Xenopus tropicalis: one gene and its partner. The protein of the gene in region 2 purifies or fractionates together with the protein of the main gene of each other region. This does not show direct contact. Links are inferred from orthologs where the notes say so. Each region holds a gene or a part of one and is shown on either strand. Other genes may lie near its edges.

The links. The genes of interacting proteins can lie anywhere in the genome.
Region 1: the proteins of ppp1cb (region 2) and ylpm1 purify together in Homo sapiens (affinity purification with mass spectrometry; 3 studies listed by BioGRID and IntAct, with this or other methods). This does not show direct contact. The link is inferred for Xenopus tropicalis from reciprocal best matches to the Homo sapiens genes PPP1CB and YLPM1.

What each region holds. Positions count from the first base shown.
Region 1 is NC_030684.2:82,123,211-82,127,990, reverse strand, and holds the start of ylpm1 (YLP motif-containing protein 1), read right to left. Parts: upstream 3,170-4,780; 5' UTR 2,718-3,169; coding exon 2,133-2,717; intron 41-2,132; coding exon 1-40. UniProt on the Homo sapiens protein: Plays a role in the reduction of telomerase activity during differentiation of embryonic stem cells by binding to the core promoter of TERT and controlling its down-regulation.
Region 2 is NC_030681.2:5,961,953-5,966,202, forward strand, and holds part of ppp1cb (serine/threonine-protein phosphatase PP1-beta catalytic subunit), read left to right. Parts: intron 1-1,599; coding exon 1,600-1,830; intron 1,831-2,669; coding exon 2,670-2,774; intron 2,775-4,250. UniProt on the Homo sapiens protein: Protein phosphatase that associates with over 200 regulatory proteins to form highly specific holoenzymes which dephosphorylate hundreds of biological targets.

The sequences.
Region 1 (4,780 bases), on a different chromosome or scaffold from region 2:
AACTCATTAGATGCTGTGTATACCAGTAATGTTGTTGTTGCTATTAAAATAAAAACAATTAAAAAATGTAAACATTTGTTGTGTTTACTATAAAACATAATTTACAATAATGGCCATTTCTCACTTGTGCTTTAAGATATATTAGCTGATCTCCATTTAATGTAATGTTTATATGCGGTATACATTATTTAAGTTAAGTTATTTTTTCTTACAGGGCTTTACAGGTGAACACTGCTCCCTCACTCAACCTCTCCTCTTAATCCACAAGCGGCTCTTTTTTTTCCAGTTCCTTCGAAGGCTACCTGTCATACACTAAATTCACTTCAATATACTTTTACTAACTTATAGAACACTCAGGTAGAGTCCTATACAGAACCAGTTTTTAAAAACTGGACACATGGCCTGCAACACACATTTTTACCTGCTTGGACCTGCTACCAAACGTGCAACTGACTTATCCTAATTAGCTGACCACAATTAAAAATAAAGTGCCATTGCTGCAAACTGTAACTCTGCCATCAGTAGTTGAAAAAAATATCTAAAGAAGTAAAATATAGATTAAAAATAATATATGATAAGAAATATAGATAAGACTCACAATCCAACCCGCATAAGAAAATTCTACACCCAACCTGCAGGCTTCCCACTTTTTTGGGAGGTAACCTGTAGGTACTGACCTGCAGCAGGACTCTACATGCAGGGCCGATTTATCAACATTCGAATTTGATTTTTTTTGGCACAATTCAATTTTATTTGCACTAAAACTTGTGAACCTGAATTATGACCATGAAAATTTTGGAAAAACTCGAATGTAAAACCTAAGCATCTAAAGCTTGTGAGCTCATGTAAAAGTCAATAGGCATTGTTGAAGGCAAAATGTAAGCGATTTTTTTAAATTTGACTTTTTCAGAATTTTGTTTTTGAGAGCTCACAGACCTAGAATATAAATTTCATGAGTTTGAGTTGAGAAAAAAAAACAAACAAAAAACCCCCCTCAAATTCAAAGCTTCTAAGTGACATTCCACTAGTGATGCATGGGGGGGGGGGTCAACATGAAACCTGTGGGTCAGGTAGGTTTGAGTAGACCAACCTTCCTCTGCAGCAGTTTGCAGGCAGATCGCTCGCCACATTCACCTCCAGCCAAGCCACTTTCCAACCCTCCTCACCCAAATTTCTGACAGCGGACACATACCGCTGCTGTTATTTATATACGTACACCTGCCCCCTCCATGCATCACAATACTCCAACATATAGCACCTAAATTACAAAGTACACTCCTAGACAAAATCTTCACACTGCACATGACCTCCCACATCCAGGTAAACCCTGGAGCTGCCCCACATGCAGGATTTCCACTCAACTTTGGCTCACCTACCACTATATTCTAGTACACTCTTGTAATTTTGTGATTTTCAAGGAATGTATGGGTCAGCCTAACATTTCCAGTGTCAAATCCAAGATTTGGTTTGGCATTAGGCCAAATCCTATTTTTTGCAGGTTTAGATTTGTGCAAATCTTAAGTTACTTTAAAGCGGAATGAGGTAGTAGGCACCACGCACCCTTCAGGGCAGAGCGTGCTGGAGTGCCACTGGGACTGGAGCGGCGCAGTCAGGCAATTGCATGGTCAGGCACAGTCACAGCACACCTGGGACTGGGGCGGCGCAGTCAGGCAATTGGTGCTGCATGGTGATTGTGAGCTAGGTGGATCAGATAGGGAACTGAAGCCTGTCTTGCTTGTGTGAGTGAAGGGCTGTGCTTCTACTGTGCTTCTGTTAAGGAATTTAGAAGATCTATAAGGAACTCTATAGGGACCATTTTTAAGTAAGGGAATTTTTAGCTAAGAGTGAACCCAGCACCATATATGATTGCATCTGTATATGTACAGCCACACAAAAGATCTATATGTAAAATTACAAACCAACTTCAACATTGTACAAGACAACATCCTTAAATATATGTGCGTAAGGCCTCTGACTGCAGATCTTTTCTATGAACATTTGCAAGCTAGCAGTCTTCATGTCAATGACTTACCGTTCTGTATACCACATTTGTCAAGTATCCAATCGTCCGTTATAATGCATTTATCTATATACGTGTATGGACAGCTTCATGTCATAAATGTGTTCGTTACCTCTAGAGACAAACCATCAGATCCTCTAATGCCCTCAGAATCCTTAGGGGAGGAAGATTCCGCGGGCTGCAAGCGCTTCTCTGGGTCTGGAAGTGGAGGGCGCGCCGGTTCCGGGGGAGGCTGCTGTGCAGGTTCAGGTGGGGGCGGCTGATCTGGTTCAGGAGGAGGTGCCGGTTCTGGAGGGGGTGCCGGTTCAGGAGGGGGCGCTGGCTCAGGAAGCGGAGGGTTTGTTTGATGGTGCTGAGGAGGAGGGTAACTAGGGTACCCAGGGGGAGGCAAGCTGCTCACGAAGGGTGGTGGGGGGAAGGGATAAGACTCTCCGGGTCCATAATACGATCGCTTCGCGTAGCCGCCAGTGTGCGGCTGATAGGCTCCAGGCGGCGGGGGAAACCCAGCAGGCTGAGAGGTGCTGCCAACAGGCAAGACTGTTTCTAGCTGCTGCTGGTGCATTTTCTGAAGCTGCTGGAGCTGGGCCATGTGCTGGTCTCTAAAGCTCTGGAAGGCACCAGTAGCGGGTGCGGATGGCGGCCCGGCCGGAGCAGATATTGAGGAAGAGCCGCCATACCGGCCCCAGCCCGGATACATAGCCGTAGATCGTTCCAATCAATAAGTCGGCTGCTTGTGCAAGAGCCTCACTTCTCCGTCCTGTTGTTCGACCTGCTAGACTCTATCGCCGGAAACTCGTCATACGCTCCCATACAGCTTACTCCAATAGCATACTGCCATGGCGGACAGACGGAAGTTCAGCAGCGAGGAATCACTTCCTTTTCCAGTTTCAACAGCTCTCGCTAATAAAGGTGGCAATAAAGGTGGCATTTAGCTCTAAATTGCTGATGGAACGGTATGCGTTTACAGACAAGGAAATAGATCTTTGAATATAGTTAGGCTAAATTGTAGCTGGAAAAGGAACAGTCATAGAAACTACAGATAGGCTTCGTAATGTCTAGTTCCTAGTTGCTAATGGAAAGGTATCCCTTTGCAGATAAGGAAGCAGTCCCTTTAAAATAGCTAGTCTAAATTCTAATTTAAAAAGGAATGGTTATAGAAACAAGACAATAAAGTGCTGATAGGATAGATCCTGTTTGTTTTCAGTGCTTGTAATGACTTAGTAATAAAACTATCACTGGGGGGGCGATGTTATTCTTGAACCAACAAATGTTTTTTATAGTTGTAATTTTGGTGTGTAGGCATTGTGCCTGAGTCTGAGCTTTCAGAAGGAGCCAGCGCTACACATTAGAACTGCTTTCAGGTACCCTGTTGTTTTTCCTACTTCCATGTAACTGGAGGAGTCCCAAGCCAGACTTGGATTTCTTACTATGGAGTACGATTCTACTGGGATCTACTGGGAGCTGCTATCTTGCTACCTTACCATTGTTCTGCTTATCGGATGTTGGGAGGGGGGTGATATCACCCCAACTTGCAGCTCAGCAGTAAAGCACAGGTCACGGGGCATCTTGGTATCTTAGTTGCCTTGGTTTCTGTTAATTAATTACAAGTTTTCTAAGAAGCAGTCAGAGTCTACCACAAATAGTGGGTTGTTTCTATATGAAGGGTGAAGTCTGTCCCCAGACAGGGGTAGGAACATATTTCATATATTTGTTTTTGCAAGGATATATCAGACCCTAGCAACCAGATGGCTGCTGAAATTACACACTGAAACAGAACTAAAGAAAATTAAAAAATGATGAAACTAAACTAAAGAAAAAAAACACCATCATACAGGTAAAGCAAATCACCTCATTAATTTCAGTCTGCATTATATTAAATGAAAAAGTTAAACTACTACAGTAATGGATTACATTTTATGTATGATCATATAGTTTGAAACAAATATGGTTATTTGCGGTATTCTGGATGAAACTGTAAATTGATTGACAATGAGTAGTGTTTTTTGGCTTTAGCCAATAGGAGGTCATTTGTTTGTCAGGTTAGAGCAGTTTCGGCGGAGTGTTGTTGTCTAAAACCAGATTGTAGGGGATCCAGGAGGTTATTGTCGGAGAGGAATAGCGTCAGTTGGTTGTAGACTAGGCGCTCGAGCAGTTTGGAGATGAATGGGAGCAGAGAGGTCGGAGGTTAGTAGGATTGGAGGGATCAAGGGAGGTTTTTTTCAGAATAGGGGTTACAATTGCATGTTTCAGTTGGGAGGGAAAGATTCCAGTAGAGAGCGAGAGATTAAATAGATGAGTTAAGGCTTTGATAAGACAGGGGTTGGCATTATGCAGAAGTTTGGTAGGAATGGGATCAAGCGGGCAGGTAGTAAGGTGAGAGGAAAACAACAGTTTTGAGACTTCCTCTTCAGTCACTGGGGAGAAGGAGCCAAGAAGAGACTGGGTAGTGTGTAGGGAGGGAGGTAAATGGTTATAGGGATTAAGTTGTGCAATGTCCCTTCGGATGGTGTCAATTTTATTTTTAAAGTGCTCTGCGATAGCTTGAGCAGTGACCAAAGCACACGGAGGGGGCGGAGGAGGGGACAGCAGAGAGTTAAAGGTAGAGAAGAGTTGTGCAGGTTTTTTAGAGAGGGAGTTAATGAGTGCAGTGAAGTAGGTTTGTTTAGCTTGGCAGAGGGTGGTATTATAGGAGAGCAGAGCAGATTTGTAGCTGCAGAAATTTGACTCTGACCTTGATTTGCACCAGTAGCGCTCAAGTGT
Region 2 (4,250 bases):
TTTATTATTACAGAGAAAAGGGAATCATTTAACCATTAAATAAACCCAATAGGACTGTTCTGCCCCCAATAAGGGGTAATTATATCTTAGTTGGGATCAAGTACAGGTACTGTTTTATTATTACAGAGAAAAGGGAATCATTTAACCATTAAATAAACCCAATAGGGCTGTTCTGCCCCAATAAGGGGTAATTATATCTTAGTTGGGATCAAGTACAGGTACTGTTTTATTATTACAGAGGAAAGGGAATCATTTAACCATTAAATAAACTCAATAGGGCTATTCTGCCCCCAATAAAGGGTAATTATATCTTAGTTGGGATCAAGTACAGGTACTGTTTTATTATTACAGAGAAAAGGGAATCATTTAACCATTAAATAAACCCAATAGGGCTGTTCTGCCCCAATAAGGGGTAATTATATCTTAGTTGGGATCAAGTACAGGTACTGTTTTATTATTACAGAGAAAAGGGAATCATTTAACCATCCCTACAGCTCTGATCTGCCCCCTACCCCATTGCCCTGCGCTGGTGACACAGCCGCTTTCTGTCCTTATGAAAATCATTTTTCCTGTGAAACATTTGCACTCGTGCCTATTTTTTCAGAATCCTAAATCAACACGCTGGCATGGCGTCAGTCAATAAACAATCGGCCAAATGGCAGTGCTGAGCCCTGTGCTATTATATAATTGCCTCAAACACTAGAGATGGGAGGGGCCAGCCATGTCACTGTGTCATACATATCCCTGGCTCATGTGACTGCTGAGTCTGTACCAGTAGTGTGTGATCTCTGTCCTGCAGGGTGTCAGTTGGCTCTCCCTGGCACAGGCTCACAGGTTTCATGTGTATGGGTGGTGCCTGGCTTGTAGATTCCATGCAGATACAATTAAGTGCACTCTTCCAGGGCCTTAAAGCAATACTGTCACAGGAAAACAAAATATTTTCACAACCCATCAGTTAATAGACATTCTCCAGCAGAATCCTGCATTGTAATCTGTTTTTCCCATGGGGCTAGCCATATTCTTCATTTCCGAGGGTGCCACAGCCATGTGACCTGTGCTCTGATAGACCTGCTGTGCTGCAAGTTGGGGTGATATCCCCCACCCTGACCCCCAGCAGCCGATCAGTAGAACAATGGGAAGGGAGCAAGATAGCAGCTCCCAGTAGGTATCAGAATAGCACTCAATAGTAAGAAATCCAAGTCCGCCTTGGGATTCCTCCAGTTACATGGGAGTAGGAGAAACAATAGGTTAGCTGAAAGCAGTTCTAATGTGTAGCGCTGGCTGAAAGCTCAGACTCAGGCACACTTTACTGCTGCGCTGCAAGTTGGAGTGATATCCCCCCCCCCTCACCCCCAGCAGCCGATCAGCAGAACAATGGGAAGGGAGCAAGATAGCAGCTCCCAGTAGGTATCAGAATAGCACTCAATAGTAAGAAATCCAAGTCCGGCTTGGGACTCCTCCAGTTACATGGGAGTAGGAGAAACAATAGGTTAGCTGAAAGCAGTTCTAATGTGTAGTGCTGGACCTGCAGCGCTCTGATACCTGTATTGGTTCCAGCTGTGTATAACCAAGCCTTTCCCTTTCCCTTCCCATCTCCAGGTGATATCCACGGACAGTACACGGATTTACTGCGGCTGTTTGAATACGGGGGCTTTCCGCCAGAAGCCAATTACCTCTTCCTGGGGGATTATGTGGACAGAGGGAAGCAGTCACTGGAAACCATCTGCCTGCTGCTGGCATATAAAATCAAATACCCAGAAAATTTCTTCCTGCTCAGAGGGAACCATGAGTGTGCGAGCATCAACCGGATCTACGGGTTCTACGATGAATGTGAGTGTGTCCCACACTGGGCTCCCTGGACAGTGCCAACGACTGCGTAGCCATTGTGGGATGTTTGTTGGTGATATGATAATGAGGACCCCCTCCTACAGATTTTAGTGGTCAGCTGTACCGTCTCTTTTCACATATAGCTCACACCAATTCTAATTTTTATAATCCAGTTTACTTGGTCAAATCTCAGTGCAACTGTACAGTAGTTGTACTTTAAAAGGAACTTGGTTTAGTTTGCTTTGAATAACCTTGTTTTGCTGTTTGTATTTTCTGTGCTGCAATGAGCTTCAGTCACACTTTACTGCTGCGCTGCAAGTTGGAGTGATATCCCCCCCCCCTCACCACCAGCAGCCGATCAGCAGAACAATGGGAAGGGAGCAAAATATCAGCTCCCAGTAGGTATCAGAATAGCACTCAATAGTAAGAAATCCAAGTCCGGCTTGGGACTCCTCCAGTTACATGGGAGTAGGAGAAACAGTAGGTTAGCTGAAAGCAGTTCTAATGTGTAGTGCTGGCTGAAAGCTCAGACTCAGGCACACTTTACTGCTGCGCTGCAAGTTGGAGTGATATCCTCCCCCCCCCCCCCCCCCCAGCAGCAGATGGCGCCTACACACCAATATTACAGCTACAAATACATTTGTTGGTTCAAGAATAAAAGGTTAAATGGCAGAGGGAATTGATTATTTGTTGTGTAACAGTGTCATTTAGAAATAAAAAAACATGAGATCATTTTGTGGCAGGGGTGTGATGTATTTATAGTTTTTTCTTTCTTTATATCATGTTTACCATTCCTTGAAGTGTGAAGCTCAACTCCTTCCTTTGCTTTTCCCATTCTCTAGGCAAACGGAGGTTTAACATTAAACTGTGGAAGACATTTACAGACTGCTTCAATTGCCTGCCTATCGCTGCCATCGTGGATGAAAAGATTTTCTGTTGCCATGGAGGTACGCCATCTTTGTAACTGACTGGCAGGGCCCTTTTGTGACATATATGTCATGTATATGTATCTTATAAATATTGCTAGAAATCTGTTAGATTCCTCGGGGCAGTTATTCACTGTCGGTATAGCTGGATGTTGCCTACAGCCAAATACTTGTCCTAATTCCATCGTGTTTAGCTGTAGGCTCTATAATATGTGTCTGTGCCGGAGAGTCAGGCTGTAACCTGATGGCTTTGTACTGGTCAGCCGTGTTATTTAGTAATGGTACCAGTACTACCACCCTGTGCCCTGCATCATAAATATAGGTAACATCCAGGCTAGACTTTGTTTCTTTTGAGCCTTGCATAGTGTTAAGCAGTGTTTTTTCTAAAGGTGGCTATAAACTGCATGATCCGCTCACTTGGCACGGTCACTGAGCAAGCAAATCTTCTCCCAATATCCCCACCTATGGGTGGGTGATATTGGCCTAATTCGTTTGTTTGGCCCTGGAGCCAAACCATCGAATTAGAATGGCGGGTATAAGCGCAGTCCGTTCCGACTACATTTTCAAACCCGCCCGATTGATATCTGGCCAATTTCAGGCCAGATATCTGTTGGGCAGGCCCGTCGGTAGTGCCCATACACGGGTATAAGCTGCCAAATTGGTGTAAGGGACCGATATCGGCAGCTAGAATCGGCCCGTGTATGGCCACTTTTATTCGATCTTTTGACTCTAGGGCCTAACGATTGAGTTAAAATAGTGGGAATAGGCATTGTTGGTTCAGTGACTGCATCAATGAGCCAATGCTGTCCCCGATCCAACGGAAAAATCAAACCTGCCCCATAGAGATTTGCCCAATTTCAGGCCAGATGTCGGGGAGGCCTGTTAGTGGTGCCCATACATGGGCAGGTAAGCTGCCAAATCGGCAGCTAAAATTGCCCCGTGTATGGCCATCTTTAGGCTGTGCTTATATAACCTTTGCCTCATATACTGTGTGAGCAAATATCCCCTTATTTCAGATCTCATAACTGACCCTCAAGCTCACAGGCTTATCCAGAGGCTCCGATCTTACCTTATGTGGCCTTTTAGGGCAATGACAGATGCACAGATTCTGAACCCGTAGCAGGTTGTATAAATTACACAACCTGTTTAAACCACTTAAATTGAGTAATTGTGCAAAATGCCGCCTTACAAATATTTGAGCATTTTTTACATTTTGCGATTTAAGTGTTTTACCTCCGATTTACATTACTCACTATGGTAAGGAATTTTTGGCCATTTCGCCTTGGTTACAAAACACAGTCTGTCATTGTCCAATCCCATAGTTTAGAAACAACCGGAATTGGTGTAAAGGGATAGCTACGATAAATTGCTGTCATCTAGCTGGTGATATATAAATTTAATATAACAATCTCCTGGTGGGATCAAAACATTGGAATCACTGTGAGATGGTGAAATAAAAGAATTTGGTATTTACAATTATTTAACAGCTGGCCCTCT